Arabidopsis thaliana: one gene and its partners. The protein of the gene in region 3 interacts with the protein of the main gene of each other region in a pairwise test. Each region holds a gene or a part of one and is shown on either strand. Other genes may lie near its edges. The genes, in order: PEX6, PEX10 and APG8A.

Region 1 (12,525 bases), on a different chromosome or scaffold from region 3:
GTGTCGTTGTAGGACGCCAAATTGAAACCGTGTCGTATCAAAGTTCTAGAGAAATGGAACATGCAACTTTTATACAAGTCTTTAGCAAAAGACCGACAAAACACATCATCGCTCACATTCACAAACACGACTGTATAGAGCTATACATGCACACTCAATCACAAATCAAACCCTCCAACGATAAAAACCCATTCACTACACAAAGTGAATAAAAAAGGTGAAGATTCTATTCTTTCTTTAAAGATCAAGAAACAGAGTGTCGTCTTTTTCTCTGAAACAAGAAACGGCTTTCAGAACTTGCCTTGCCACTCAAGGAAGGTTTAAGACTACTGAAACTGAAAAGAGAATTGAGTTTGCTTATCTTTTTAGCAAATGACTTGAAAAGCTTAGTCCCTGGATTAGATTTCACGAGTTCTTGTTTAATCGAGATATGATCTTTCTCTAGATCAGTTAATCTCATCCTCATCCTCGCAACCTCAAGCTTTAGCTCTCTGTTTTCTCTCCTCACTGACGCATAGTTATCTCTAGGAGATATTGCTCCACTTCCTTGTGATCCAAACAAACAAAAAGTGTTTCAGACAACATCAGATGATGTTACTAGAAGAGGTTTGACATAGGTTTGCTTAATGCTGAGTTTACCTGCTCCACTTCCTGACCGTTGAGGAAACTGATGACAGTTACTGTTGAATAGAAACTGAGTAGGACCTATGCTACTGCTCATTGCGTTTCTGAGTCTGATCTGCTCAAAGTACAACACTTGTACGGCCATTTGCACAGGTAATCTCTCGTTTTGAGCTGCGTGGCTACAAGCTTCTTGTGATAGTTTTTGTGAGTCTATCGTCTTACAGAGACGATAACGCTCTGAATCCTTTATATTCGGATGAACCTGTCAAAAAATAAAAACTTTTAATGAGTTTTGACAGTTTCTAGAATATGAGATTGATGATTTTTCTTACTTTGAGGTAAATGTCAACGGCTCGATAGAGTCCATCACTGATGATACGAGCATGATCTGGTAAGAGTTCTGCTAAAGCTATGAACTTTGAGGTTGTGAGATTCGGATCCATAGCTATCTCAGCTAGATAGTTATCCATTAGCTTCGATACTTTCAAGATAGAGCTCTGTTTTGGAGACCCGGGGCTGTCAAAATCGTAGATCATCTCTGTTTCATCTCTAAATTGAAGATGATGATGTTCTTCTTCTTCGTCGTCTTCATCGAGGTTCAAGAATATAGAGAAGATTCTCAAGATTGAATCGATGTCGTACATGGTGTTGTTTGTTCCATTGAGATTTATCGGAATCAAGACATCTTCGAGGATGGCTTGGTCTAATTGCAGACCGATTCTTCGTTCTAGATCTGATCTACATGATCCTGTAGAAGCAGATGACGATGTTGCGATGACCATTTTGAGAAGACTTGAAAGAAACGCCATTGGAACAGAGCTTCTTCTTCCTTGTGTAGGAAGTAACCTCACAATTGTTTCCACAATCAATCGCTGTTTCTTCTTACCTTCTGAATCAAGAACCCTTTCTTTCTCCAGTTTCGGATCGCGAACAATGAGCCCTTGAAGAGACTTATTCGTGTAGCTTATCAGAATCTTGCTGATCACGTCTTGTATTAACCCTTTAGACTTAACCGCAGAGATAACCCTCTGAAAGAAATCGAGGTTCAGAACAGCTAGTGACTTCCCCCACCAGTCTAATGGAGTTTGTGGTTCGATATTTGTACCCGAGAACGAATAATCGAGCTTTAAAAGACCCGATGTTAGCTGTTCTTTGCAGGCATTGTTGGCAACAGCTATGATTAACCGATTAACCAAGTTGAGATCTTCAGAGACTGGGATTAAGGTTTCGCAATGATGTAGAACGATGATGGAATTCAAAATACTGGGGAAGATTGTCTCTTTCAAGAAATGTTCTGTTTTGGAAGCGAGATTCTCCTCTGAGAAATCCTCTGTCATCTCTAGATAATGAGATGCACAACGGAGCTTAGCTATATTAAGAAGGTTGATTTCAATGTTGATTCCATAACAGAACTTAGCTGCGAGCTCAAAAGCCTCTGATCCTCCAGGAGCATTTGAGAGACAAACATTCGATATTTTTGGATCCGCGAGAAGCTTTCGGATTTTTCCACTCCGAGACACAAGAGGAAACTGAGAAATCAAAACAACAAGTAACAGTTGAAAACTTTCAATACAACTCAAGAACAGAGGATACTCTGTTTTAATGTTCTTAAATTTGCTTTTTACCTTATGAAGACAGAAACTCGAAGATCCAACTTGAACTGTCAGATCACTAGAGACATCGGATATCGGCCTGCGAAAACAGATAAAAAAACCATCAAGATTAAGCGAAAGGATTTCTGAATTATGAATCAAAAGATCTTTTGTGTACTTGAATTCCATGACTCCGACGCTAAGATTCTAGGATAACGAAACAGTGAATTTATCGCCAAAAATAGTGTTATTTATTCCTGGTTTTAGAGACATTTAAAGATTCACAGGGGACATGTAAAAGATTATGTCTACATCAAGCTTTTTCAAATGAAGACAGAACTAGAACCAGATGAAGTGTTAATGTACGGATATGTTCCACATATATACAAAATAAGATGGAGAAATTATTGGTTTCGATGAACAGTAAGACTTTAACAAGAAATGACTTTTGGCTACAGATTCACATCACATACAAGATTGCTATAATTCTTCAGAAAGAACAAATTTTTTAGTCTTTTTCTGACAGTTTTATCAAAAACAAAGATGTGAATGCAAAAAAAAAAACAAGAATCGTTGTTACTAAATTTGGATTTCATTTGGTGATAATAGTTACAAAACTGGTTTTTGAAACAGAGTATATATTACCATTCAGAGGCATGTCTGATGGTTGAATTCAGACGAAACCCTCTCTTTCCTGTGAAAGCTGGCTTCAATTCTCCGACTGTAACAAGTCCCATCTCTCTCTATTCTCGTAGCAGAAGAAGAAGGAGAAGAAGAAGAAGAAGAAGAAGAAGAAGAAGAGCTCTTGCGGTTGTAATGGCAGTGAATGTACGTAGTTAATGGATGTAAAAAGGTAGAGAAAAAAGATTTGGTTAAAATTAATCTGCTAAGTACGTGTAAAGCTGAGATCATTATTATCACAGATAAAATTAACTTAAGGAATAACAAACAATACATGCAATGTACCTACATTAAGTTGCTAGCTAGTATCCTTTGAGGCATTTCCATCCATTATTATGGGATAAGTGAGGTTTCTTCTATCATCATTATGTCTACTCTCTTGTTTTTCAATTTTCGTTTCAATTTAACAAAAGTTTAAGATGATCAATCATTTAATTTTTCTACATACTGCTTTGTCCACTAAAATTTATATGGAATATATATCTAATGCAAAGTTTTCTAAATATAACGATACATAAAGAATATATTAAGTGTCAAGTGAATAATTTTGGTGAGACCAAGCTTTAAGATCACTCCATGCTTTTAGTTTTTGAAAATGTATATTTGTTAGTGGTCCAAACAAAATTAGGGCCTTTACTTGCTTTGGTTAGAAAAATAGAAAAGCAGTAGTGATTACACCGATTGAGATTTATATTTTAGCTTTAAGGCTGTTTATGTAATGATGTTAGGCTGATCGAAAATTCTCGAGCCCCTCGAAACCTATAATTTGTTTTTTTAAAATATTTATGCTAATTATGATTCCAGGTTAATTTTACTAAACAGATTATAGTAAAACTTTGATTAGGAGGAACAAATAGTACAAAAAAACAATAATCAGAAAATATAATAATATAAATACGAAAAAATCCTTAAGTGGGGCCAGTACCATCTGATCCTCTTCAGTCTTCATCGGTTCGCGTACTGTGAATTTTCTTCAACGGAACTTGAATCTTCTGATGGAAAATTAGGGTTTTTGTTTTTATACTTTTTTTCTGACTCTTTTGAGTTTTGAGTAATTGGGAATTCGATTTGATTCCGTTGCAATGGTGGAGAGACGGAATCCTCTGGTTCTATCATCCACAAGAAGTACTCTCCGTTCAGTGCTCAATTCGTCACAACCCAGCTCTGCCGACGGCGACCGAGTTCTGAATAAAGACGGTGACTTGTTACGAGGGAACGCTAGGTTGTCTGCGGGCATTCTCCGGTGGCGGAAGGACGGAGAAAATGTTTCCGATGCAAAATTGGATTCTTTAGATGACTCTGCATTGGTTGGACTCTCCACTCAATTGCTTAAGAGACTATCTATCAACTCTGGTTCTTTGGTATGTCCTTCTCATCTTGTTCAGTCAACAAAGCTGGATCTTTTCTGGATAATTTTGTTGCTTTTGATGTTAACAATTGAGTTTTTAAAATGCAAGGTTGTTGTCAAGAACATTGAGATAGGCATTCAAAGGGTTGCGCAAGTTGTTGTACTTGATCCTCCCAAGACGACGCTGGAAGATGCATCTCTCACTCAAGTACCTGTTTCGGACTCTCTTCATACGATGCTTGTCTTTCCCACTTATGATTTGATGGGCCAGCAGTTATTAGATCAAGAGGTTGCTTACTTGTCCCCAATGTTAGCTTTTAATCTTAGCTTGCACATATCTTGCCTGAAATCCCTCGTACATCGAGGGAACGGGGTCTTAGAGAAGTATTTTGAAGCTAAGTGTGATGAGGAGTTTATCGGAAAATCTGCAGAAGATGGGTCGAAGATTGGTTTGGATTTGGAACCCGTGTCCCAAGTTCCAGGCTATGCATCACATCTGAGAGTTTCTTTTGTTAAAATCCCAGAGTGTGGTACCATCCCATCCCTGAAAGTCAATTCGTCATTTGAAGCTGAAGAGCGACAAGGGTTAATAGATTCTGCATTACAGAAGTATTTTGGAACTGATAGACAGCTATCAAGAGGCGATATATTTCGCATTTACATTGACTGGAATTGTGGTTCAAGCATTTGTAATCCATGTAGTCAAAGGTTGTGCTCCGAAAGCGACGACTATATATATTTTAAGGTAATATTGGTTTTCATTTTTGCCAGAAAAATGCTCATTTTGGCCAGAGCTTACTGAAAACTTAGTTCATCTGCTCAGGTTATTGCGATGGAACCTTCTAATGAGAGGTTTCTTCGAGTGAATCACTCCCAAACCGCCCTTGTCCTTGGAGGAACTGTATCTTCTGGTCTTCCACCAGATTTACTGGTGTATAGATCAAAGGTTCCTATGCCATTGCAGGAGGAGACAGTAAATATTTTGGCATCGGTGCTTTCACCACCTCTCTGCCCATCAGCACTCGCCTCAAAACTCAGGGTTGCTGTTTTACTGCATGGTATACCAGGTACATTTGCTTCGGTTTCATCAAGAAAATACTTCACTTTCATATATGTTCTTAAGGGTTAAACTATTTCTGGAAACAATGTTAAGGAAAGACTAGTAAGAGACTATGTTTCTGTGTTTACAGATTATGGTAATTTGGGAGAAGTCATAATTCGACCTTTATGCTCTATGCATATAACTGAATCACGTGCTAATAGCTTTTTGTATCTATTGCTTGTTTAAGGGTGTGGGAAGAGAACTGTTGTTAAATATGTTGCTAGGAGGTTGGGGCTGCATGTAGTTGAATTTAGCTGCCACAGTTTATTAGCATCATCTGAGAGGAAAACATCTACTGCTTTGGCCCAGACTTTTAATATGGCACGAAGGTAAAATGGTATACTTTTTTTCTTTTCTTTCATGTATTCATTATGAACTGCATTCAGTAAATGGCCGTGTTTTAATGAAGTGCAAAATTACTTACATTTTTGTAAATATTGAGCTCTTCTTTCTGGAATAGTATTTTTATCCACAACTTGGTGAATGCCTTGTTTTCATTGTCACAGGTATTCACCAACGATACTTTTGCTTCGCCATTTCGATGTTTTTAAAAATCTGGGCTCTCAGGATGGTTCACTGGGTGACCGAGTTGGTGTGTCCTTTGAGATTGCATCGGTTATTAGGGAACTCACTGAGCCAGTTTCTAATGGGGACAGTTCCATGGAAGAAAAATCGAATAGCAATTTCGTAAGATTTTCATTTCTTTCCTTGGTTCTCCATTGCGCGTTGCACAGTTTCACTTAAGTTCACTTTTCCGTTTTCCAAATCGTTGTCGCATAATCCATTTTAGCTAAGCTCTCAAACAACTCATGATGGTTTTAGACCTCGTACTCTATAAAGTAAAGAAAAGAGAAAATATTGCTCTTCGAAACCCTTTTCCATGATGCTTTATCTGTATATGTGCTAATGCAGTCTGAAAATGAAGTTGGAAAGTTTAGGGGACATCAAGTGCTGCTAATCGCATCTGCTGAAAGTACTGAGGGTATCTCTCCAACAATCAGGCGTTGCTTTAGCCATGAAATACGTATGGGTTCTTTGAATGACGAACAGAGATCTGAAATGCTGTCTCAGTCCCTCCAAGGCGTTTCTCAATTCCTTAATGTATGTGAGTACAATGCTCCAAAACTTCAAGTATTTGTTTTATGATATAATTTGAACTAAATTAAATTACCTCTCATTGAAATCTTAGAGATACTAGATCCATTTATTCTTCCATTTTCAAACTAAAGTTAACAACTTCAGGCTTGATGGATAGATATTTTCACATTGTAGATTAGCTCAGATGAATTTATGAAAGGATTGGTGGGACAGACTTCTGGCTTCCTTCCCCGGGACTTGCAAGCTCTTGTAGCTGATGCTGGTGCCAACTTATACATCAGTCAAGAGTCCGAGACCAAGAAAATTAACTCTCTGTCAGATGATCTTCATGGAGTTGATATACACCAGGCAAGCCAAATAGATAACAGCACTGAGAAATTAACAGCTAAGGAAGACTTTACCAAAGCTTTGGATCGATCAAAGAAGAGAAATGCATCAGCCCTTGGTGCTCCTAAGGTAACATTCACAGTTTTCTTGCTGTGGTGTTTTCTCGTTTGTTTGTCTATTTATGAGACAAGTTTGCATATTTTTTTGTTACTGGAGATGCACATAACTTAAAGGTTTATTTGTATTCGTAGGTTCCAAATGTGAAATGGGATGATGTTGGTGGGCTTGAGGATGTGAAGACATCGATATTGGACACAGTTCAACTACCTCTCCTGCATAAAGATTTATTTTCGTCCGGATTGCGTAAACGTTCTGGTGTACTTCTCTATGGCCCTCCAGGAACAGGGAAAGTAAGTAAGCCATTTTTTCTTTCACTTTTAGCATCTCTTAATAGTCTGTTTTTTGGCAGTTATATTTTTGAGTTTTTGAATTAAATTTACAGACTTTACTGGCAAAAGCTGTGGCGACAGAGTGCTCCTTAAATTTCCTCAGTGTAAAGGGTCCAGAATTAATCAACATGTATATTGGAGAGTCAGAGAAAAATGTTCGAGATATATTTGAAAAGGTAAGTTATATTTCTTCTTCCCTAGGAGAAGCATATTGAGTCTTTGGTTCTGATTCTTAAACTAGTGTGTTTTCTTCAATTGCAGGCAAGGTCAGCGCGACCTTGTGTGATCTTCTTTGATGAGCTTGATTCTCTTGCTCCAGCTCGAGGTGCTTCTGGTGATTCTGGAGGAGTCATGGATCGAGTGGTATCTCAGATGCTTGCAGAGATCGATGGACTCAGCGACTCTTCCCAGGATCTGTTTATTATAGGAGCAAGCAACAGACCTGACTTGATTGATCCAGCTCTTTTACGGCCTGGCAGATTCGACAAACTTCTATATGTTGGAGTCAACGCTGATGCGTCTTACAGGGAAAGGTTAGGCATTTAAACAATCAAAAGCATGTCCAAAGACAAAAAAAATTAGAAGCTTCCTGATTCTTGTTTTTGACAGGGTACTTAAAGCACTGACTCGGAAATTTAAGTTAAGCGAAGATGTATCTCTTTATTCAGTAGCAAAGAAGTGTCCCTCTACATTCACCGGCGCTGATATGTACGCCTTGTGTGCTGATGCTTGGTTTCAGGCAGCTAAGCGAAAGGTGAGAGGGATAGGGTTGAAATTTAAGACTATATAAGTCTCTGTAAAAGCTTTTATTGAAATCGCTTTGTATCTGCATACTTGGCAAATGCAGGTGTCAAAATCGGATTCAGGGGATATGCCTACAGAAGAAGATGATCCCGATTCAGTCGTTGTAGAGTATGTGGATTTTATAAAGGTTAAAACTCTTTTCCTTCATCTACTCATCAAAAAGAGTTGCCATTTTCATGGTTGAGTAGAAATGTTAATTTGTTATGGTTCGGTTTTATCAGTCGAGAGTTATAATAGTTTCCCACTTTGTCTTCTTTGTAGGCAATGGATCAGCTCTCGCCATCACTCTCCATAACTGAGCTTAAGAAGTATGAGATGCTTCGAGATCAATTTCAAGGCCGTTCGAGCTAAACCCCTCTCAGTACATAAAAATTAGCTTATAATGAAGACATTTCATATTTTTTTCCCAGACTATTTTCTCTGAACAGTTCTGTTGATTTGGTTAGTCAATTGATAGTAAAATTAAAGAATCAATAATGTAAAATAATTTTCTTGGTTTGAATTACCTTTGATTGGTTACGCACAAGTGATTCTTCGCTTCCATAGTTCCATGTAATAATATAACACACAAGTGAAGCAGATTATTCAATGGTAAAAGGTTTTCTTAAAAAAATTTCCACAACGGTTCATAAAAGAATTCTGTTTTTGGTTTGGGTAGGAAATAAAATCATCAGTTTGTTATATTAGGTTTGTGTTTTATATTATCTGTTTGATTATGGTGTTGTTAGTAATTTCAGAATATTTTCTCCAAACAATTATTTCAATTGGCATTCCAAAAATAGCGTTTTTGTTTTCCACACGTGACTAAATTCCATTAATTACGTGAAGCATAGAATCCATATGGCGAAAGTTTTTTAAATTACAGTAAAAATTTTTATGATTAAGGAGATTTTACTTGCAAAAAAAAGACAAATCTTTGAAGACTGAAATGACGAACTTGACCACTATGACATCACTTGTCACGTGGGATTTGCTTTGTTTGGGCGAGCTGGTCCGAAATCAATTTTTTTTTTTAGGAAATTATTTTTGTTGAGTTAATTTTTTTTCCTCTTTTTCGTTTGTTCGAGAAAACAGAGAATGAGGAATCAAAAAACGGAATTTTGAATTTGCAACGTGAGGAACCTCCTCTGTCGTTTCGATCTTCAAGTTTTTTTTTAAAGCTTTCTCTCTTCAAAGCTCTTCACGTGAGCTCTCCCAAATCTGGGCGTTATTCGCTTTCTGGATTCTGAATCGCATTATCCAACGAATTCAGCTGATTGATTTTATCGGGCTGCTTTGTTCAAGTCTCTCTATGTAAATGGGTATTTAAGAGTTTTGCTTATTCTCTCGATCGATCTAAGTTTTTTTCTGAGGAAATTTGGAAGATTTTAGCTTCTTCGATTGATATGATATATATAGGTTTGGGTTTTAGATGATTTTGGTGAGTAGTAGCGATGCTAGAAGCGAATTAGGGTTAGGGTTTGGTGGATTAGGTGAAGAAATCATGCAAGATTGTGACTTTGAGGAAGAAAGTACACATTCTTATGTTTCTTGCGTTGACCCAGATGTTGCTCTCTCTTACATTGTAAGCTTCTTCTGACCTCTTAACTATGTTTTCCTTTTCTTCTTCTACAACTACTACTTAGATAGAATCCTTTCTTTTTTCCTTTTCTTAAGGATGAGAAACTCGAAAACGTCTTGGGACATTTTCAGAAAGATTTTGAAGGTGGAGTTTCTGCTGAAAATTTGGGTAAGTTTTCTTGTATATTTAAACTTTGTTGCTTTCTCTTATGTTCATTTATGAATTCAATGAATGTTTATAGGTGCAAAGTTTGGTGGCTATGGTTCCTTTTTGTCTATGTATCAGAGATCTCCTGTTTGTTCACGTCCTAAGACTTCACCAGAAGTTCAACAAAACCAATTGGTAAAGATCATTAAACAACTCAAACTTCGACTAGAGCTTGAATTTAAGCTTTTATAGTGAATGTCATTTTCTGTTTATAGGGTGGTCGATCTAATTGCTCAGCTTCATCACTAGTACCTCAACTATCAATATCCGGATCCGCTTCAAAACCTCCTGCTTCTGATGTTTTGGTCAAATTAAACAAGTTTGTCAAATCAAGTCATATAGGGACACCTGATAGCAAACACATGTCTGACGCAAAAACTTCTTCTTCTGCTCCATCAAATCATAAGACTCTCAGGTTTCGTATAAAAGTTGGTTCAAGTGACCTCTCGTCACTCAAAAACGTTTCTACCTTTACTAAAGAAGGCCTCAATATGCTACCATCAGCATCGCGGGTGAATTGCCTCTCAGAAGTTGAACAAGATTTACTGAATGGGATTTGTGATTCGCCCACTAAAATTCTTATGGTGATTTTGTTTTCTTTTTCTGTTTCTTCCTTCTCCTTAAAGATTGAACAATGATGAATATGAGTTTGACATATACCTTTGTGTGTGTAGGCTATGGTGTCATTCCCTTTGCATAAAGATCAGCTGTTATCACCTCTCTCTGATGATCTTATTCAGTTGGGATCGAAAGAAAAGATTTTGAAAGATGCTGGATATGGTTCTACAAACAAGACGGATGCAAAAAGTACACCCGATGGTTTAGTTGTTTCTGATTCACAAAAGCGTGCTGGTAAGTTTCCTATTGGGAAGAAGGAAAAGTTAAGGGATAGGGTAAAGTATAGGCCACCGTCAAACAAGCTTGACAGAAATCATACCGTATCCAATACTGAAAAAGAGGCTGACAAAGAGTCCTGTGAGGAGCTTGTTTCCAAGACTATGAAGCTTCCACTTTTATCCTGTCTATCACCTTCATATATCCACCCGGCAAAAGAGATTGATAACGTATCAGATTCTAATGTGGAGAGTATATTAAGAGGAACGAACAAAGATGCAGCTTTGATGGGTTCAAAGCCGGAACTAGAAGATAATGTAGTGGCATTTTCAGATCGAAGTGTTAAGGAAACTGAAAGTATTAACGTAAGAAAAGACGTGTACCTGATAAAAGGTGAACCTCTAAACTCATTGGAAAGTAATCCCAAGCGGGAGAAAGCTCCAAGTATTGAACATGTAGATTATTCTTCTGTGGTTAAGGGTACTCAGAGTGAGACAAGGAATGAAGAGCAAATTTTAAAGTCAAAACTGCCTAAAGTACAGAGGTCACAAAAAGGTTCAAGCTCCATTGTTACCATGAATAGTCAGAGAGGCAAGGACGCTGCTGTAAATATAATTAAGAAGAATGTACCAGATAAATTGCAGGAAGATATTGAAGAATCCGAACACATGTGTAAGGGATTCTTTGGTGATTCGAAAGAATCAAAAGAAGAAAAACAAATTAGTCCCGTACTTAAAGCTGAGAAAGAAAAGCTTTCAGAAGAAAATGCATTGGGCGAGAGTTTCAACAGTGTTAAAAATGATGAAGAGGCTTGTGATCATCTAAATTTGGTATGTGAACCTGATTTGAAACACCTTATTAAGCCGAGTGACTTGAATGAAGATAGGCACACCACCAAGCAGAGTGTTAGACGGGAAGTGAAAAATAAGCATTCTCTTGAAGGTATTATTTGTGAAAGATATTGATTTTCCTTATAATATTTTCTTTCTGTTCAAATTATCTGATCTGCTTGATGAATACGCATGTAGGAGGAATGGAGAATATGGGAATGGAATCTGAAAGGGAACTTTCTGGGGTTTCTAAGAAACCAAAGACTGGAAAATCACGATTTTCCGCTGTAGATCAACCTGGATCCAACAAATCCAACCAAATTCTGGAAGTTTTAGATACTAACAAAACTATGATTACTCAAGCCTTAGCCGAAAATGTCAAGGATTTTGCTAAGGCTTCCTCGCATGGCGAACGTGATGACAGAAAGAGGAAACTGAAGGAAAATGAGGAAAGTGGAGATTGTATGAGACTTAGAGAAGCTGCAGTAATGGAATCAAGTGGAGAGAACGTTAGAAAGAGAAAGAGGCTTAAAGGTTCAAGTTGTGATGAAAAAGAGTTGCCTTTTAGTAGTGAAAGCTGTGATAAGGAAAGAAGTGTTAGTCAAGAAAATGGTAGAGATAGTGCTTCTCATCTACCTTCTACACTGTCCTCTCCGAGTTTGTGTAAGGATTTGGGCTCTGAAATTATCAAAAATAATGTCCGCGAAAGTAAAGGTTCACTAGTTGAATCAGTTGCCCCTTTGGCCTTGAGAGTGTTAGACTCAGGTGAGCTTAAATCAGGAAGAATTTCAGAAAGGGATGAGTACCATGATACTGATTATAATGCTGGTGAGACGTTAAAAAGATGCCGAGATGGTGAGGCTTATAGTACTATCGATAGACCAGGGACAACAAAGAAGGCTGCAGAAGATTCCAAGGATAGAGAAAGAGCATATGGGGAGGATTGTTCAATTGAAAACTTAAAACCAAAGAAGTCAGGGAGATATCCTGGTGAAAATTGCATAGAGGGTGACTCTAAGCAAAAGAGTAGAGAAGAGGAGTCATCTGCACCTTCGAAAGATAATAACT
Region 2 (11,015 bases), on a different chromosome or scaffold from region 3:
GATTAAGGTGTCGTTCGTTTGATCAGTTGACTGATGCATCTAGATGCAGATGATAACTGATGTTCGTTTGAACACAATATAACAGAATAGTTTGATACATCAGTTGGCTGAGTTTATAAAACTCATTCAAAAAAATTAAAATATTTAGCTGACTTTGATCGGTGCATCTAGATGCATCAGCTGCAGTCAAAAATGGTAAATCTCTAAAATACTCCTTTAAAATTTGAAGAATTACACTAAAATAAATATATGTCCTTTTTAGTCATTTGGTACATTATGCATTCAGATGCAGATGCACATTGTTAAAAAACAATTCAAACGAACACATCTGCATTCAAATGATTCATCCAGATGCACTATCAACTTCAGAAACGAACATCATCCAAATGATGCATCTGAATGGATCTTCTGGATGGATCACCCAGAGGCACTACCTAACTGATTAAACGAACAACACCTAACATTTTAAAATGGTATTGTGCCTAATATGAGATTTTCTTGTCTTGTAATAGATCTCCAATTGAGATTATTATATGTAATATAGAATGTGAAAGACCACCTAACATCTCCAACTCTTTTTAATGAAATGTAAAACAACAAACCTCTGTGGTTTCTGCACTAAATATCATAGAGAAAAAGGTAGGCATGGGATCGAGAATGATGTCAGAAATATATTTATTCTGTCTTCTCTCATAACTTGTTGATCTTACTCAAAAAGTCTGAAGCCGAAGCAGATTCCATTCCTGTAGCAGATGCACTGTCCTTAGGTGTCACTGTCTTAGCTGCTTTGCCTTTCTGCAGTGCCTGTCTTTGTTGATCCCATTGTGCCTAAAAATCAGAATGATACAAACAAACCAAACTTGAATGGGTATTGGGCGTTCGACAAAGAGGGCATTCTTGCTTCTCGTTGCACCATTCCATAATGCAGCTCCTGCACATGACAACATGACTTTCAAAATGAGCACAATGTTCCGGTGTCAACTTTTGGATCTTAGGTTTTGTAGTTCGAGTAAATGTTCGATACAAAGTTCATCTTATCAAAAGCAGTTTCAACCAATGGACATCAAGATATTGAAATTCTCTGGATTCTGAAACTTATCAAGGTTTGTAGGTGTTAACTCGTTCCAGATCAGGCCCAGGACAAAATAAGCAATTACGGTAGAGGAAGGTTTATTACCAACAAAACACATGACCACAAGGAGTGGCCGTTGGGTGCTGACGGGTGCTTAAGCAGAGAGTGCATTTCCCTACTGCCTGCAATCGAAGTACATAGCAAGGTAAACACCTAACATAACAAGTGGTAACATATTGATTTCATCAAAACGAGAGAAAAATAAACCCCTCTGGAGTTTTTTTAAATTTAGAATAGTCTCAAAATAGGATTAACATATAACCTTGTCTCGCTAGAAACTATATGTAGAGCGGGATCAGTCGAGTGGCCATCTACTCTTATCAGATACTCATACCAACAGAGTAAACTATCATTTTGGTTTTCTTAATCACACTTATACAACATAACCTTTGCGTAAGAGCATAATACATTTTGCTCAGAGTTATGTGCCTCTCTTCCAAGTATATTATTACCTATTGTCCTTTCCCAATAATGATCACTATTCAAGATATTAGCCATTACAAAGTAACAGAAGTTTCTAACTTATTTATAAATATTTTACCTCCGTTGAAGTTGAATCGGAGGTAGACCAGTTTCCCTTTTCAGCTTCCGAAGTTATCAAATTCCCCTCTTCATTTAAAACAGGTAAACCTCTCCCTGCAAGAACAATACCAAAACTATATTACTGTAATGTGAAATAGGGTGATGCATAACAAGCAGAATATTTCAGCCTATGTTATCTTCTCTCATGTATCTTTCTAACAAACTTTTACCATGATGCCAATTTAGACCATAGTTTATTGAAACTATAGTACTGACAATCTAACATATATATCCTCCACAAATATCCGTAATGTTGGGAAATTCTAGATTATTAACATTCATAATCAAGGACATGAGAGCCAGACCTCCTGAAGTTTGATAAGATCCTATAGAAGCCTGCTGAATGGAGCTAGTGATAGATGACAAATTACTCCGACGCAAGCCCTCAGCAGCAAGGATGCACAATTGGATTAGAAGGAAAACCCCAAGAATTTGGTATCTGCTCAACAAGACTTAAGGGAGTTCAGTTACTCTGTGATAGTAAAAGTCAAGAGTTGCAAGTGTAAAAGAAGACAAAAAAATCATTACCTAGGTCTCTGATTCAGTTGCTTTCCTATGAAAACATAACGAACCCCGGATGCACGTTTCGATATATGATAATAAAAACCTGAAAAGAAACAAAGGTTACTAGTTCAGAACATGCTCTACATGAGTTAAATATTTCTCACAAAATTCACCTTCAAAGTAGAAGAGCATCAGATTGGCACGCAAAACCAGTTGTAAGACTTCGCGGGCAACAGGAAGAACCTAAAAGGCACAAAACCTTGTATAAAACAACATTTGCTACGCAGAAAACAAGTGAACGAACCATGGAAAATTAAACGTGAGGGGTATACATTACCACAGGCCATCGCTGAATAGCTCGGTGCCACGATCTCATAAGTCTATCGTTTAACCTAGATACTACAGAAGTTGAAGTTTCAACTTGAGATGAAGATGGAAGATCTATCATTCTTGGTGAGTGGATATGACTATCACCAAAAAACTCATCAGACTCATCAAAGGTGACTGCTTGCGTAGCAGCTCGAGTGCTGTAGACAATTATATCAATATCAGCGGACAAGATTCAAATTTTTCTTTGTAAAACAACAATAAGAAATGCGACGAAACCTAATTCTCTCTGCGATATATGGAACTGCGGTCTGGTACAATATGAACAAAGCACGTCTAGCTGGTGTAGGAGAGAGTCCATAAGGCCCTGCAACCTATATTATATCATTCTACATCAGAAGGTAAAATGGTTTTGTAGAAGCACACTTAAGGAAGATTGTATAAAGTAACAAAAACCTGTATAATGTCACAATATTCCTCTCCTAAAGTTTGTTGCCCTGAACCTGTCGTAAGAACATAGTAAAGCATCTGTCCAAGTAGCTTCATCTATCCAAAAACAATAAAAACAAATAATCAAAAATCTCATGGAAACTCAGACAAATATAATTTAGTGTATATTACCTCCTTCTGGTAAGCAAGAGCGATTCTTGTACCTAAGAGTGATAAAAATTAGTTATTAATTGGACAATAACGATGAAGCAATTAAAGTAGACAGTTGTTGTTGTTTGGTTTGGTGTCGGAAAAATTGTACCGAAAAGGTGTCGGAAGGCATCGCGGCAAGCTTCGTGGATGAAAGAAGCGTATTGATCGTCTTTCTCAGCAGCTCTCATAATCTCCGGCTGAGCTGCTAACGGGAATCGTCTGATTCCGCCGTGAAACCCGCTCGAACCGGGTTCATCCTGACCCGGACCCGAATCCCCATTAAGCCTCATCGTTTCTTTTTTTTCGTGGATCGATGAACTTGCCGAATGATGTTTTTTATTCGGCCTTTGATATTTTTTTTTAATTCAAAGGAAAAATAAATATTTGCAAATGTATCGATGCCATTTATATATGAGATCAATAATATTTTATTAATTATAATCTTTTTAATTATTTTTATGATCAAATATTTGTCTATATTAAGCAGTATTTTGTAATAGTCAATCGATTCGGGTGAGCTGATTAGTTTTTTAGAATACATGATGTTAAGTAAATTATGTTAAAAATAAATCCGAGCAAAGTGTTTCCATAATTAAATTATTAAAGGAGATATTAACCTTGACGAAAACTTTCTCTCTTCTCTCTCAAAAACTTTTGAGAGAGAGAGTTTGTTTTTTTGGTAAAGTCCGATCGTGATCTCATATGCATGTTCTATCCTCGCCGTCCGGTTTATCCGGCTCCTGTCCAGCATCGACTAGCTTCTAAAGTAGTGTTGGCTGGCTTATGTCTGGCGATTTGCCGTCTTGTTTACGGTGTCTTCGGCCAGTTTTGGGTTTGTTAAGTTTTTTTGTTTCAATAATCTCATTAGATCTGAGTTGGTGATGATGTTTTAGGTGTTGTGTCACTTAAAGAATGGATTTCTCCGACTTGTTTCTTTTGAGCTTTTGGTTTGCAGAAATCTTTCCAGAGACATAAGGAAAGAAGAATCTTTCGAAGCATATTATGATTGCCTTAAAGCTGTTAGTTTCTTTTTGGAGTTTCGATTAGCTTAGCAACGGTGACAAACAAAGGATTCAACGACCGATTATATTTCGGCGATAATCTTCTCACCGAAATCGATGCTCAACGGCGAAGGTTGATGTCGGAAATCTTTCGATTACTCATCCAGCATGTGTCGTGGTTGTATCCAGTTGCTGACACGTGGGCTTAGGTGGAGTACAAACAAATTTTCTTATGCAGTATGCGGTTATCCGATAGGCTCTTGTTGGGCCTCAAATATTTCTGTAAACTTTTCGTGGGGCTTTTAGTGTAGCCCGTGTATGATCGGGTTACGTTTAATACAATACTACACTTGAGAAAAAAAAAAAGAAGTAAATTATGTTATTTTTGTAGAATATATTTTTTTTTCTCAAGATTTAGAATACATAAACATGAAATAAATTATTATAACACAAAATGTTGGTCTAGTTTTCCAATCTTACTCACTATGCACTGATTGATTCAGAGGTGTGATCATAGCCTTTTGAAGAAGTTCATAGCCAGCTAAGTTCAAGGCTCCGAGAGGAGCAGTCCAGAAAAACCTTGGAACAGCTCCTTTGTAGAAAGCAAGAGGACCCTCATGTGTGAGAATTGAATAAGCAGCCATCAACATCGACAATTCCACGCCTTGTGGAGCCGTCATCATTCTTGTTTTAATCACATCGAATGGCGTTGTTAAAACTGCAGTGAAACCACCGGACAAGGCTCCAACCGCGATGGCTTCCCACGGCTCCAACTCTCTTCCTAATTGTCTCTCCACCACCTGTGAAACTCAATCGCAACCACGTCTTATTAATTACACAAAGACATGTCATTGTTCTGTTCTATCATGATTACCTTCTTTGATTGGTTGTAAAGTCCCATGCCAGCAACGTAGAAGGGAACCTCACGTAGAAGGGTAACACCGGTCCCACGAAAGAGTCCTTTGAGCCCTTCTTGATGCCAAGTCGAAACTGTAGCTTCCACTATGTTATCAAACTGGTTGGCTTGTAACCGTTGTTTCAACACTTCACACGGTATTCGCAACGTTGTCCCCAATACCGTACCAATAAAAGACGCGATTGACTGAACCTAAAATAATCAAGAAGCAAAAAAATTCAAAGAACGAAACATTATGTAGCAATAAAGTTGGCAATGAGCTTTTTACAATTACTAACTTGAATATCAAGAAGAGTAGGAGCAACGAGCGGTAACGCAAGTTTACTTGCTTCATATATACTTGTTCGTAAACCATGACTGAAAAATGTTTAAACAAGAGATGAAATCATGATAATGCTTATAACCAATAACCACAAGGCAAAGCATAAGAGATGAAACCTAGCAAATTGACCAACAACAGCCGGAATCGAGCCTTTGTATAAACCTCGAGCACCAATCTCTGGAATCTTTGACAATATTTCGAGAAACGACAATGTAGTTGATGCTTGAACTTGTGTCTTAATGATCCAAGACAAATGTAAGTAATCAGAACAATCTCATAAACACAAAAGAAGAACCTGAAATGAAATTACCATTATACCTTGACAGTATCCACTGGATGCATCAAAAAAGCAGAGAAAGCACATGAGATTCCTCCAGCTAATGCAGATTTAAGAAGATGACCAACATCTAATCCAACTCTTGTCCTAACAAAACATGTAGTTTAGACACAAATGTTTTAAAGAAAAACAGTATCTACAAGGTTCTTGTCCTCACCCAGTATCAAAGTTCTTGCCTTTAGCAACAGCTTCATTGATCAATGGAGCAATTTCATTGGATCTTGAAGTAAAATTTCCAACTTTTGCAAAATTTAAGCTAACTATAAAGCTACACGCATCTGAATTCGATTTTCTACGGAAACAAGAGTCAAGCTTTTGAGAATTTAGAAACAACAAATCATTGAGAATAGAGAGAAGGAGAGATTCAGGTGATACATGTTTCCTCTTCGGAGCTTTATTCACCATTGTTGATTTCAGTGGATCTGTGGATAAACCTTGAAAACTAACTCTGTTCTTCATCCGTCATTAGAGGAAAACAGAAGAGTGATTTAAGTGAGATTAGTCAACGTTTGATCCAAATAGTGGTTTTGATTATCGAATTAAGCCATTTTTGTTAGTCTTTGTTTAAAGTATTAGTAATTTAGTATACAACAACAACGCATATGAGGTGTTCGACGAAATGACTGTGTTAAAACAAATTGAGATGTGGGACTGAAACAAAACTAGAGGTAACTATTTTAACCAAAGATGTCAAAATGAGTAACCTTACCCAAACCCACATGGATTTGAGATTTTAATAGACGAGTTTGACCCAACCCATGTATTTATATAAGTTGAATTTATATACTCAAATCCACAACCATAAAATTTATTGGTTTAATTGGTTATATTGATATCTAGATAAAAATAAAAGAAAAATTTATAAGTAATAAAAATCTAAAAAACATATTATAATAAAACCAAGAAAAAATTTCAGTAACAAATTAAAAAATATCTAGATATTAAAAAAAAAAAACATCTTAAAATCCTAAAGTCCTAAAACCACAAATCCAAAAAAACACAAAATCATATATATATATATCATAAAACATGTTATTCATGCCTACTATTTTTATAGTCTATTAGATTAAAATATTTTGCTTAATTAGTGGACCGAATCAAAGTAATATCCAGATATATTTATATGCTTCGTTAAAAGCGAGATTTTAGAATATGACTTTAGATGTCATTTGTATTTTTAACCAAAATATAAATAAAATGTCATTGGTATTGCCAACTATGACCAAATTCTTCAATTCACAGGCATGTGTGAGTTCATGTCGAAGAAATTAAAGATTCACCTATTTAACCGGTGGTGCATCTCAAAGTGGGGAAACAAAAACCTCTAATAATGAAAGTATTTGCCAGGTTGTGTTTAGCTTCGACCATGTGGTTCGGGTATGGTTTATTTTATTTTATTACTATTTCATCTTATCTCAAAAATAAGATTTGTATGCCATGTTGCGTTAACGTTGACCATTTAGTTCCCCAGTATATGGTTTAAGCGCAATGTATATCTATGCATACATTTTTGTTTTTTCGGTTTGTGATCGGTTTTAAATTTTGTATGATGCTAATAACAGTTGTGTTTTGGAAATCACGCCGAACCAACAGACATGGTCGCAGTCAAACAACTCCATCTTTGGGATTTTTTTTTATCTAAAAGAATTCACGTCCTTGTATATAAAAGGTGGTAATATTTGAAATATTGAGATTTCAGGCAACACTCATTTTTTTAAGATTCTCACGTATAAATTAGGATTATATCATATAGGAATAAGTATAACGTGGAAGATTATTATATAGGGATGAATCATCCACTAGTTAAGCAGAATATTATATTATATAGACTATATAAAATACTAGGCATGAATGAATTTAAGCATACGTATTACAGACTTGTTTGTCAAAACAAAACAGGCATTAATCTTTTTTATCTTTCGAAGATATAACCCATGGCGATATCTCACGCCCAACCTGTTCTGCTTCTCCTATCATCACTCTATTTCTTATCTGCTTTTGGCGCCGGCGCATACAATTTTGAAAACTGCAAAAGTAAGTATCGTTTTTGTTAAGTCTTATATTGTTATATAGAACATCAATTCTTGTTACTTGATAAGTCAATTCAATGAAAAGAATATGCCTGAATTTCATAGATTGTGGTTTGCTCCTATCTCTGTTTTTTGTTTTACCAAATAAATCTTGAACCGGAACTCACATTAGTCGTCAATTCCATAAAACAGAAATAGAGTATTTTGCTACTGTGAAAACGTTTATATAGAAAGAACAGATCAATGAAACTATGAAAGTACTCCCATCTATAAAATAACCCAATAATTGTGAAGTATTCACCGAAGACTTTTTTCTTTTTTTTTTCCTTCAGTGTGGTTTTCGAGAGCCGTGGTGTATAAGTCAAGAACTGAGTATTATAACTAAAATATTGCAGGTCCAGAGTTCCTCCAATATTCAAAGATAGATCAAACAATTTGAAATCTGATCGAAATTTAAAATAGATTTATCTTTTGTTAATCCTACAAATAAATAAATAAAGAAACACTTACCCCTATGACCCTATCATTTGACATACCAAATTTCCAAATAAAGAAATTTAGGATTTATTTTTGTAAGAAATTAGGATGTAGATCCAAGTTTTTTTTTTACCTGCCATGACTTACTGATAACTTCTACAATTGTTAACATGCTCTAAATCGGTGCGACTAAAGATGCACCTATTGACTACAATTACGGTATTACGAACGTCACACGTGTGGAGATCTCTCCATACCCTGTTGGGCCTTACGACGAGCCAACCATTACCATATCCGGCTTTACAAGTGATGATAGTACGTAATATTTTCTATTCTTTTAATTGTTTTCATTTATAGTTTCCAATATCTTATCTTGTAAGAAAATATATTTGTGTTTACAGGCTACATCATCTATAGAGCAACTATACATGTGTTGTATAAATATGAAAATGTGAATAGCACTATAATAAATTACGACCTCAGTGATGTGATGGGTGAGGATCCATGCTCTATTGAACCTGGCGAAAAATTTGTGTTAACTCTTTCCAAAGTTCCTGGTTTGCAGTCACTCCCTCATGTAAGTATTTTTTATTTTAATTTTTGGACAAACGGTTTCACTTTGATAAATGTATTTTAAAACCGAACAATCTAAAAACCACAATAGTATATTTACTTGGTTTGCCTGACGGTTTTTTTTTTCTTTCTTTAAACTAATTAGAAGGATAAGTCCAAGATTGTCATATCCCTTGTTGATGAATATGGTGATGACGCTGAAGTGCCACTGCTAAAAATGTGTGTTGAGTTCGATAACCCTGCTCCAACTACAACATCGGTCTCTGCTTGATTAAATCCAATTGGCTTATGGAAATATGTTTTCAATTCTTCATATGACACTCCCGTATTACTTGCATTTTTTTTTCCCTTTTCGTGTTGTTCAACAAATAAAAGAAATATTGAATTTATAGTTTTATACGACTCTCTCGTTAATTACTAGCATCCTTTTTATATTTCAGTAACTATATAGAAAAAAATTCTAACGCATTTGCTAAAAATAAGCTACAACAACAAATCTCTAGCTATGTTTTTATCGCAAATAAGCTACAACAACATAATAAGCTACATTTGCACATGAATAAACGATGCACGAATCTGTCTCACCTTGTTTTATACGTATAGAGCGCACTTGTTTTCTAGAAACTTTTCCATTATAATTGATTAGTTCAGAAAAAAATTAGAAGATTTGAAGGTGTTGTGTGGCGATATTCATATACCAAAATCAGTAACACAAAATCAGTAAATAAAGGAACTTAAAGAGAATACGAAAATTAAACAAAGACAAAAGAAGAATATGGAACTTGTGACACATGAAGTTCAAAAACAATATAACATGACGATGAATGAATCCATTAACCTTTACAATGACTTAGCGGGGAGCCGCATAGACAGTCGTTGCCGGCAAACACACTTTCTGGAAACTTTGTCACCGGAAGTTTCCCACAAAGATGGTTTTGACTCAAGTTAAGTGTCTTTAATCCGGCCACCCTCGCCGGCACTTTCCCGAACACTAAGTTCCTTGATAGATCAAGCGTCTCGAGCGTCGTCGAGAAACTTAGCTTCCTCAAATCGAATCGGAGTTTGTTCCCCGACATTCGAAACTCCCGTAGTTGCTCTGCTCCCTTCAAGAACCTCAGTGGACTCCCTGAGATCTCGTTGTCCGAAAGATCAATGGAAACGTAGAGATCAGTTTGCCTTGTTTTCCAATCGTCTAAGCTCATCTTGATTCCACATTTAGCCAACTTCAAAGAGCCGAGGATCGACGCTGAGGTCACCCATTCCGGGATTGTTTCCATGTGAAACTTGTTGTACGACAGATCTAGAGTCAAGATGTAATTCTTCACGTTCAAAACAGGGAATGGATTGGTTAGAAGATTGTGAGAGAGATTGATATTAGCAATTTTAGTCAGCTTGGCCAAACTCTTCGGCACGGCTCCAGAGAAACGGTTCTTGGAGAGATCCAGTGTGTCGAGCGCCACGAATCTTGATAAATAGCTCGGTATCGACCCCGAGAGATTGTTCTGACCTAGCTCAAGGAACGCAAGAACCGGCGCGAGCGATGCAATCGACGGAGGGAGCTTCCCGGAGAATCTGTTGCGTGAGAGAGTGAGGATTCGAAGGTTAGTCATTGATTTGAAAATATCCGGGATGGTTCCAGAGAGACGGTTTCCATCGAGATTAAGATTCGAAATGAGCTTGAGATTAGCAATCCCTAACGGTATTGTTCCGGTTAAGAGATTACCGCCAAGATTTAGGTAGTTTAACCGAGTTAAATTGGATATGGAACTCGGGATTGAACCGATGAACCGGTTTCCTTTAACGGTTAATGTATCTAAGCGGTTAAGCGCGCCGATGTTGGCTGGAAGAGGACCAGAGAGACGTGTATTCTCGAGGTAAACATACTTTAGATGTGGTAATCTGAATAAAAATGGTGGAAATGGTCCTGTGATGTTTTTGAGATTGATAAAGACGACCCCTTCCAAATGCTGGAGTTTGGCCAGTGACGGAGAGATTGTGCCAGAGAGAAAGATTCCGGCATCGTCGGACTCTATGCGGATAGTGAGTACGACGACACGGTTGCCGTTAGGGCAACTGACACCGTTCCAAGAGCAGCAATCAGTACCTTTTTTCCAAGTGCTTAGAATACCTGAAGGATCTTTGGTTATACCCGATTTAAAAGCTAATAGACCC
Region 3 (9,211 bases):
TGGGTATTCAAAGAAGAACACAAGCAGCCACTTGCATTCATGGGCCATTGACGATGATGATGAAGGCTCAATGGTTCCTCCACATGAGTTAGTAGCAAAAAGACTTGCAAGAACGCAGATCTCATCATTCTCTATGTGCGAAGGAATCGGAAGAACGCTCAAAGGAAGAGATCTCAGCAAAACAAGAAACGCTGTCTTAACAAGAACTGGTTTCTTGGAATCGAATATCACATCTTCATCAACAACATCACCACCATAGTTTTGGCATGGCATGGAGCATGGCTGGATGATCAATATCACATTCACACAAAACCCTTTTTAGCACCATACCATATCATTATCATGAAAAAAAAACCTAAAACCTTATGGTATCCACATGATTTTTATTAAATATCAATGTTATTGTCGTTATCACCATGTAGGGAATCATGACACTACCAATATGGTTGAGTTCTCTTTTTTTTTTTTTGTTGTTGTTGTTGTTGTTGTTGTTAGGTTTTTGGATTTTTTTAGATAAGTATGATGACGATGAGGATGACTTGTCAATCCCATGCATGGGCCCATACCATTTTTCTCATGTTATGTTTGTAGTTCTCAATGGTCTTTTAACTCTTTAGCAGTGCTTAGTGAGCTTAAATTATAGTTTAGCAAAACAAAATGGCATATACTTTGGAACCTTTGAATGTGAGAAATTTGAAAGCACTCTCGATCTCTTCACCATTTTGGCCTCGACCAAGAGAGAAAAATGTAGCGAATAATGTTAACATTTTTGGTCCGACACAAGGTTAAGGGGCTCGTTCCATATTGCTCACTACCTTTCACTTTTCAATGTTATATAGCAACTAGACATGGTGTTACTAGGGGAATGGGGTATATGTATCTGTTATCTATTTCGGTGTGTTGATTTAATTTTTTACTTCGTGTATTCTTGAACCAATCTGCAACTGAAAAAGTTGTATTTGAATTTGGATTAATTCGTTTCGTTGCTAAATATCCATTTCAAGATATACATAATAAATATATTAGTTAATTTACTATGGTAAGATATATTTTCAAGAATGAAGTTGTATAAATAAAAATACTTGTTTCGATAATTTTCAGTTTTATTCACGTCGGTACTATCTCACCCGTACTAAATTTGAATTGCCGACAAACAAAAAAAATGTCAAGTTCGGTTGGATTTTTTATTTTGTTTGGATCTACTCAATATATAAATAGTACCAATCACACTATAAACGAAATTTACTCATCTTTCCTTGGCCCTAGCAACGGTTCATGATAATCATTCTTTCTTTTTACAATTTACTTTTTCGAAATAAAAAATTGTAGTAAAATTACAGTTTCAACTAAAAAAAAATCTTGTACAGAGGTGCCACAAAAATGCAATTCAATTTTATATAAAAATACAACGACAACAAATTTGTTACTTTGTCAAAGCGGATTATTTGGCACGAAAAATTCGTGCGGAACCGCTACATATCATTTTTGTAAATAATTTTCTTCAAAATTGGCTCGTTTGAGTCATAAATAACACCTGATGACAAAAAAAAAAAAAAAATTTTTTTGTTACTTTGTAAACTTTTGCTAACCAAAGCCTATATAAAGGCCCAATTAGCCCAAAACGACACAAAAATGTGTGAAGAAATAAACAGATGGTGGTGACGTAAGACAAGTGTAAGAGATTTCTTGTAATCCAATCAACAAATAATAATAAACGAATTCCAAGTGGTTTACTTATTCCAGAAACAGTTCCGTGTAGGCAACCATTAGGAAAACCCTAACTAAATTCCATTATTAATTTCTTTTATAATCCCTTTCTCTTGACATTGACTTCTCTCTCTCGATTCTTCTTCTCCAGTTTCAATCAAACTCAATTTCTTCTCAACGAACCCTAATTTCCAACAAATCGGATTCAGTTTCTTCTTCGGGTATGTTTCTTCTCACCAATAAATTCGAGATCTTTTAGGGTTTTCTGGGTTTGTTTCTCCCCCGATCTAGCAGACGATCGAGTTTATTAATTATGATCTTTGCTTGCTTGAAATTCGCAGAGACTAATCGAATCGCAATGGCTAAGAGTTCCTTCAAGATCTCTAACCCTCTCGGTTTGTTTCTTCAAATCCCTTTCTCATCGAATTTTCAATTACTTGATTTTTTGTTGAGTTTCTGAATTCTGTTAAAACTTGCTTTAGATCGTGTATGGTTTTGATTTTGGAACTCAATTTTGATTGGTTTTGGGATCAGATTTAATCTCTGCATACGCTTTTGATTCTTCCTTTGTTGTTCGTTTCTCTGTTTTTGTTTCTAAGCCAAGCTGTGAGATTTTATAGATATCTCTGTTTAATGATGTACTTGTCATTAATCTTGTGGTTATGTTTTGTTAATCAGAGGCAAGGATGAGTGAATCTTCTCGAATCAGAGAGAAGTACCCTGACAGAATTCCCGTAAGCTTACAAATTCATGAGTTGATTAACTTCTTTTCACTAAATTTAGTCTAATTTAGAATCTTGGATTGTATGTAGGTGATTGTGGAGAAGGCTGGACAAAGTGATGTTCCTGACATTGACAAGAAGAAGTGAGTAATGGGTTTGCTTTATTTACTCTTTTTCTATATCATAATCTTGATAACTTATGTTTCTTCCACTTTCTTTTAGGTATCTTGTACCAGCTGATCTAACAGTGGGACAATTTGTATACGTGGTTCGTAAAAGAATCAAGCTTGGAGCTGAGAAAGCTATTTTTGTCTTTGTTAAGAACACATTGCCTCCAACTGGTAAGAGTTCTTAAACTCTTTAACACCATTCAGGATCAAAGTTTCTTTCTTTACCACTAACTTTGGTTTCACTTTTGTTTCTTAACAGCTGCATTGATGTCTGCGATCTATGAAGAACACAAAGATGAGGATGGGTTCCTCTACATGACTTACAGTGGAGAGAACACTTTTGGATCTCTTACCGTTGCTTGAATAAAAATCGATCTTTGGATGACTTTGATGTACATACATAAATCAGGAAGATAAAGATGTACATTGCTTCCTTCTTTTCTCTGGCTTTTAACTTTGCTTTGGATGTTTGGATATCTTTCCCTTTGGGTTTATTAATCGTCAGAAACTTCTCCTTTTCTTACTTTCCTCTTTTGCTTTTACTTAAATAACATTGATTTTGGGGCTAATGAGTAATGAGTCACTTTCATATCAAACTTGTTCATATCCATCACAAAGGCAAAAAAGGAGTAATACACTGAAAATTGGTAAAAATAAACTCACAAAAGGCAAAACCTTGGCGTAATTATTTTTAACCACAGCTATACAAAAGGCTAAAGCTCCAAATAGAGATTCTCATCTTCACCTTCTTCATCTGTTCTAGCAATCTGGAACGAGACTGGATGGTCTATTATTGATCTCTTCGTCATCGTAGAGTCGGCGGATTTTATTGCGGATTTACCGAACAAGATTCAAGAAAGATGTCAAAGAATCAACATCTCTCTTCTCTGATGGATACTTGATTGGTCTTGAAGAGTTCTTTGGGAACACAAGTATTGTTGGAAAGCTTCCAAGCTGCAACTCCTTTTTGGCAAAGTCCTTCTGGTCACCATCAGCTCTAAACTTAGCAACCTTCACACCACTTCCTCCCAGCTTATCCGCCAATTCATCGAATGAAGCTTCCATTGCCTGACAAAACGGGCACCACGGTGCATAAAGCACAACGATCCAAGCCTCTTTCCGGTTCTCTAACTTCATCAAATTCTCAATCCCTTGCCTGCTCAAGTTCACAACATTCTCGCTATTGAAGATATCCGCGACTGAGGCTGTCCCGTTGACATTAGCGGTTGCGTTTCCATTGGTATTCTCCTTGATATTCCCTTTGTGAAGGCCACACTCTTTAGCCTTAGCATCTTCCCACCACCATCTCCCTTCTCTCTCATGCTGACCCGGCAAAACCGCTCTCGTGCATGGCTCACATCCGATTGAAACATAACCCGCAGCGTGAAGCGTGTTGACAGGAACATCCATCGTCCTCAAGAAATTCCAAACATCATTCCCTTCAACATTAGCAACCGGATTCCACTTCACCAAACTACCAACTCCACCATCTAATCCTTCAAACACTGGATCAACCTGAACAACAGGAATCTCCGATCTTGTCCCGGGTGATTGATCTTTCCTCTGACCAGTGATCCAAGCACGTAAACCCTTCAACGCACGCCTCAAAGGTCTCACCTTTCTAATACGGCAACACTCCTGGTGACCATCTTCATAGAAAGAGAACAAACCCTTGTTCCTAACTAAAGCTTGAACCTCAACAGCATCAGGAAACATATACTCAATCCGAATACCGTAATGTTTCTCCACGGTATCGAAGAGTCTATATGTTTCTGGATTCAATCTCCCTGTATCCAAACTGAATACCCTATAAGGTCTTCCAGTTAAATGAGCATACTCAATCAGAGCAACATCTTCAGCTCCACTGAAACCAAACAAAACAACAAATCAGCAAACTAAAGGAAAACAAAAACATTCCTTTATTGTATTCTCATGATTCAATTCATTACCTAAAGGCAATAGCAATGTCATTCCCAAACTTCTCAAGAGCTTTATCCATGATCTCAAGAGGAGAAGCATTCTCTAATCTCTTTGCTAGTTCCTCAAAGTCTTCAACTTCCACCACATCTAGCTTCTCTGTAACCTCTGTTTTGTAATGAAGCACAAGATCATTAGCATAAACCTTAATCAAATTAACCAATGATCAATTGAAAAATCAAACCAGAACTTACCAGAAGCAACAATGGATTCCTTTGTAATTGATTGCACATTAAGAGCTTTCACGGAGGATCTCTTCCCGGACAAACTCAGAGAAGCCGCAGAGACATTGGTACGATTCAATAACCTCAATGATCCGATTTTTGTTACTGTATTGAAGAATCAAACAAACAAATTGAATAAGATTCGACATTGATCGAATTTGAACGAATTTAAAACCAAAACACAATGACCAATCAAGGCATTTCTAAGATTCTCCACGAATTTGGTATTGAAAATGAAATAAATTACCTTTGAGATCTGAAGAAGGGAAGCTAGAGCTTGAGATCGCAGAAGAAGAAGATGAAGAAACGTTGATTGCTAGTGCCATTTTCACTCCAAACCAAATCTCTCGAAACAATGTTCTTAAGTTTTTTTTATTTTTGTGTTGTGTTTTTTCTAATTTTGTGTTCTCTTAAGATTTGTTGAGAGAAATGGGATTATAAAAGAAGCAGCTGAAATTTAGGTTCATTGAACCTAGACGTCTTTTTTTAGGTGGCGGCATTTGCTTTTCTATATATCATTGCTTGCGTCACTTTGGTCGTGTGGCAGAGAAAACTAGTCAACTTTGGTCCAAGAATTCTTTTTTTTTCTATTAATGTAACATACACTTATCTCAAAAACATTTTACACGCTTAATTTTATTTTAGAGCTAACAAAAATAATCTAATAATAAATTAATCTAATTTGTAAAATATAAACATGGTGATATGTTTGATTATTAATTTTAGATAAATACTTTCTCGTGTATTCTTTCCTTAAAAATCCGAAAAAACGATCATATTTATAGAATTAACTAAATAAAAACAGTTGAGATTTTCTTTCACTGAGATTATTTTTCGTTTGTTACGATTCTATCATTTAGTTTAACTTATCAATTTATCTACAAAACCTATCGATCTCTTCATTTCTTCTAGAAATTGCACGAACCGATATTTCATAAACCATATTTTACAGTCAAAATTAGTCTTGGTTGAAAAACAAATTCCGATCCTAACCACAAACACTTTTGGGTTCTGTTAAAAACAAACATAAAAAAACATCATACAAAAGTATATCAGAAGCAAACTTGTGATCTTAAACCTTCCAAGATTTCATAAGATCAACAAACTAAATTATTCTTATTCATCAACCAAGTCTATAGTAATCATGATCTCAACAAATCAATTACTTGTCTTCTTTAGCTTTCTCTTCTTCCTTCATCTTCTTTTCCCACCTTCTCTTCTTATAATCAAGCAACATCTGAGGCATCTTCAACATAAGCTTCGCAGTGTTCTCTCTTTTCTCAGCTGAAATTCTATCACATTTATGCCCTTTCCTCTTTGTCCTCATAGCTTTCCTCTCTGGATCATAAGGCCAATCTTCTCCATTAGTCAACACTTCTTTCCTCAGCATAGCCCTCCTTCGTGCACTTATCCCTAACGGTTTCCATGCTCCCATCTCCCAATAACCCCACACACCTTTCGTCAACTCGGTTCTGTACTTATCGAGTTTCGCCCTCCATGGATGTTGAAACCCTGTCACTGTCTTTGCCACAGCTTCTGCAGCTTTTCCAGCCATAACTTCTGCATATGCCCAAAACCACAATTCTTTAAAGATGATAATATCTCATTGTAATCCAATTAGCTCACAATAAGTTAAGAAACCTATAAACTTGCTAGCTAAAAGCAGAGGAGATCAATTGAAGGAAGGTATTATATGATAGTGATGCATAGAAGCAAAAAGATACAAACTTTGAATCCAAAGAGAGATTTGGTGATGCATAGAAGCAAAAAGATACAAACTTTGAATCCAAAGAGAGATCATAGTGAGAGTGAACTTGACACAACATTTCTTACAAATCAAACGCAGATTGGTTGAAATGTTGTTAAAAGAAGAGTCTTTGGAGACTAATTCTTGATTTACTACGCAGAAATGTGATGCAAATGGATCTAAATCCTCTAAAATTAGGGTTTGATAAGCTCAACGCAAGGATTTAGTGACTGGGTTTCGTTAACTAAACATCATCACAATCGATTTCGATTCCAAATCTAAGCCTCTCGAGTACGGGAGCAACTAGGTTCATCAATCTCTTATAGCTTAATACGAATCTACTTAGAGATCGATACGAAACTTGGAATCGGAATGAGAGAAAGAACTTACATAAAATTGGAGATCGGAGACTGTGAGAGCAACTTTGAGAACGCGGCGCTGATGAAGAACGCAGACAAGGGTTGGGTTTTTTGGCGTTAGTAAACCCTTTTCCTATTTCTTTTTTGTTTTCTCACCCAAATTATTTGTAATTACTTAGTATAAATATTTTAAAAATCATGTATATTTCCAAATAAAATTCAGAAGACAAAAAAAGTATAAATAGTACAGGTTACTCTCACATTCTCACTATACAATTCTAAACTAGTGTAGTATTTATATTTAATTTATACAATTCCATCTTCAAAATTTTTTTTGCTTAATTTTGATTTTGATTTTTTAATATACAAATGCAATGTATTTACCACGCCTTAAACTTTTACTGAAATAACTTATATATACTATGCTAGATATAGCGTAAAATCATTAAATTACATATTTGAGTTTTTGAAAAAATGTAAATATATATAAATTAATAAGCTTAATTACAAATAGGACCGTCCATTGTGTATATAGTATTGTGATTGCATAGTCTAAAGTATTATCTTAAACGAAATTGAAAAATAACCAACTTTCTTTTTTCTAGACGGGTCACGATAAATGGTTAATTTTTAATAGATCACTAATACAGTAAATCACTGTAAATCTGATAACTTATTTCATCCATAAGTAAGTTTGTATTGCATTTGGGCTACTACAGAACCAAAGGATACATTATTAGGAATAGGTGGAGAGAGACAAAAAAAGAGTATTACTGGCCTTCATGGCCTCTTTGTGAATTGTGGCCTTATATATTAGGTAATCAATTGGCCCATTCCAAAGAATGTTTCGTTCATTCTTATACATTACTACTACATTGCTAAGTGCTAAGCCCCCCAAATAGCAAATTCTAGAATAACTTTTACATGTTTTGCCACTTTTTTATTCCGACAAATCACGATTTATCCATAGGAAAAGTTGCCAACTCACCCAAACAAACGCTAACATCCTTAGAAATTAAGCAGTTGATGATCATTACATGTGTTTTTGGTGTCATATGACGGATTCATCAAATCATGTTAGAATGATGATGTTGGAAAAGAAACACGTAAGTAGATAGCATTGATTGAGATCTAAAATTGCATTTAGTAACGAAGATCCCGTCGATTCCGTCGTAATAACTAAAGCGGTGCATGGCAATATGTATATTATTAATATTCATTGAGGAATGAGGAACTTTCCTACACGTAACGAATATACAATAATATTCCTAGTTAGTCCAAAATGTTGGATAAATGTTCATTCATGAGTTGTGAAAAAAAGAAACTAAAATAATTTCAAAAATTGTTAGTATTATTATAATTATTTTTTAACAAAATGTTTCGGTTGGTGTCATATTCTTAAAGAAAAAACCAATAATCACCATTACAACTAATTAAGCTTAAAACCCATAAATCACAAACTTTTCAAAGGACTGACTTCCTTCTACCGAAATTATCGGAACTCATTGATGACATAACCAGACTTGCTTTTGTCGAATGTACCTATGATTACAAAACATGACACATTATACATTCACACATACATGAGTTTTGGTTATTTCCATTATGATATATAATATCACACTTCAAATAACAGACTTTTTCTTGTTTGTCTTTTTCTTCAATCTTTGCTAATGGTGCAGAATGGTACTCAAGCACGTGAAAACGCAGAAACTCGTATCATCCGCTTCATTTCCACGGTACACCCTCACCTTCATAACTCCGATCTGTGATCTCCACCGTCCAATAGCATTGACTTCAGCTCAATATTTAATCCGGCGGTCCAACTATTCAATTCAAGATTTAACAGAAGCATGTGATTCTTACCTCCTGACAGCTCACACGCCGCGTTTCAAAACACCTTCACTTGCGGACAATACGGAGCAATGGTCGATGTACTCTTGACCCAAAGAAGGCCCAAACATCTTTAAATAAAATTAATTGTAAACTTTTTGATGAGTGAGATCTAAAAAGAGTAAAAAGACAGAGAATCTTATGATAAATTTAATATTTGTTTTGCTATTGTATATAACCAACTATTATGACATAGTTTGCAATCCAAGGTGTTACACCGAATCGGTAAATAACTAAATACTAGCTTGCTCAATCTAATAGCTAGAGCTAATAAGAAAAATGTATTTCGTTAGGATAAATAAAAATATCATTATGTTTACTTGAATATTTGAAAAAAAATTTGGTACATGTAAACGAAATTTCCCAAACAATATTCTAAAGTGTGAAAGGATTTAAAAATGACGTTGACTTT

Evidence for each region.
Region 1: the proteins of APG8A (region 3) and PEX6 interact in a protein complementation assay, tested with the Arabidopsis thaliana proteins (one study listed by BioGRID).
Region 2: the proteins of APG8A (region 3) and PEX10 interact in a protein complementation assay, tested with the Arabidopsis thaliana proteins (one study listed by BioGRID).

The regions. Positions count from the first base shown.
Region 1 is NC_003070.9:683,908-696,432, reverse strand, and holds PEX6 (peroxin 6), read left to right. Parts: upstream 1-3,772; 5' UTR 3,773-3,979; coding exon 3,980-4,258; intron 4,259-4,354; coding exon 4,355-4,990; intron 4,991-5,068; coding exon 5,069-5,312; intron 5,313-5,534; coding exon 5,535-5,676; intron 5,677-5,853; coding exon 5,854-6,034; intron 6,035-6,259; coding exon 6,260-6,448; intron 6,449-6,619; coding exon 6,620-6,901; intron 6,902-7,023; coding exon 7,024-7,182; intron 7,183-7,274; coding exon 7,275-7,397; intron 7,398-7,482; coding exon 7,483-7,754; intron 7,755-7,830; coding exon 7,831-7,975; intron 7,976-8,068; coding exon 8,069-8,152; intron 8,153-8,286; coding exon 8,287-8,376; 3' UTR 8,377-8,638; downstream 8,639-12,525. Other genes in the region: AT1G03010 (Phototropic-responsive NPH3 family protein), read right to left, coding at 245-546, 640-886, 957-2,153, 2,250-2,316, 2,862-2,953; AT1G02990 (uncharacterized protein), read left to right, coding at 9,437-9,589, 9,682-9,754, 9,828-9,928, 10,009-10,377, 10,468-11,569, 11,656-12,525. UniProt on the Arabidopsis thaliana protein: Component of the PEX1-PEX6 AAA ATPase complex, a protein dislocase complex that mediates the ATP-dependent extraction of the PEX5 receptor from peroxisomal membranes, an essential step for PEX5 recycling.
Region 2 is NC_003071.7:11,216,939-11,227,953, forward strand, and holds PEX10 (peroxin 10), read right to left. Parts: upstream 3,570-11,015; 5' UTR 3,478-3,569; coding exon 3,297-3,477; intron 3,199-3,296; coding exon 3,167-3,198; exon of another isoform or gene 3,092-3,166; coding exon 3,002-3,091; intron 2,920-3,001; coding exon 2,825-2,919; intron 2,746-2,824; coding exon 2,556-2,745; intron 2,462-2,555; coding exon 2,392-2,461; intron 2,322-2,391; coding exon 2,243-2,321; intron 2,154-2,242; coding exon 2,020-2,153; intron 1,769-2,019; coding exon 1,674-1,768; coding exon of another isoform or gene 1,659-1,673; exon of another isoform or gene 1,593-1,658; coding exon of another isoform or gene 1,581-1,592; exon of another isoform or gene 1,255-1,580; coding exon 1,178-1,254; intron 932-1,177; coding exon 829-931; 3' UTR 501-828; downstream 1-500. Other genes in the region: AT2G26340 (uncharacterized protein), read left to right, coding at 8-53; AT2G26360 (Mitochondrial substrate carrier family protein), read right to left, coding at 4,665-4,988, 5,063-5,296, 5,383-5,461, 5,543-5,661, 5,745-5,850, 5,921-6,222; AT2G26370 (MD-2-related lipid recognition domain-containing protein), read left to right, coding at 7,698-7,797, 8,466-8,585, 8,672-8,847, 8,989-9,114; AT2G26380 (Leucine-rich repeat (LRR) family protein), read right to left, coding at 9,677-11,015. UniProt on the Arabidopsis thaliana protein: E3 ubiquitin-protein ligase component of a retrotranslocation channel required for peroxisome organization by mediating export of the PEX5 receptor from peroxisomes to the cytosol, thereby promoting PEX5 recycling.
Region 3 is NC_003075.7:11,653,848-11,663,058, forward strand, and holds APG8A (Ubiquitin-like superfamily protein), read left to right. Parts: upstream 1-1,765; 5' UTR 1,766-2,020; coding exon 2,021-2,102; intron 2,103-2,385; coding exon 2,386-2,441; intron 2,442-2,519; coding exon 2,520-2,572; intron 2,573-2,651; coding exon 2,652-2,770; intron 2,771-2,858; coding exon 2,859-2,962; 3' UTR 2,963-3,187; downstream 3,188-9,211. Other genes in the region: AT4G21970 (senescence regulator (Protein of unknown function, DUF584)), read left to right, coding at 1-259; APR3 (APS reductase 3), read right to left, coding at 3,437-4,463, 4,549-4,684, 4,771-4,905, 5,048-5,126; AT4G22000 (tyrosine sulfotransferase-like protein), read right to left, coding at 5,963-6,355. UniProt on the Arabidopsis thaliana protein: Ubiquitin-like modifier involved in autophagosomes formation. May mediate the delivery of the autophagosomes to the vacuole via the microtubule cytoskeleton.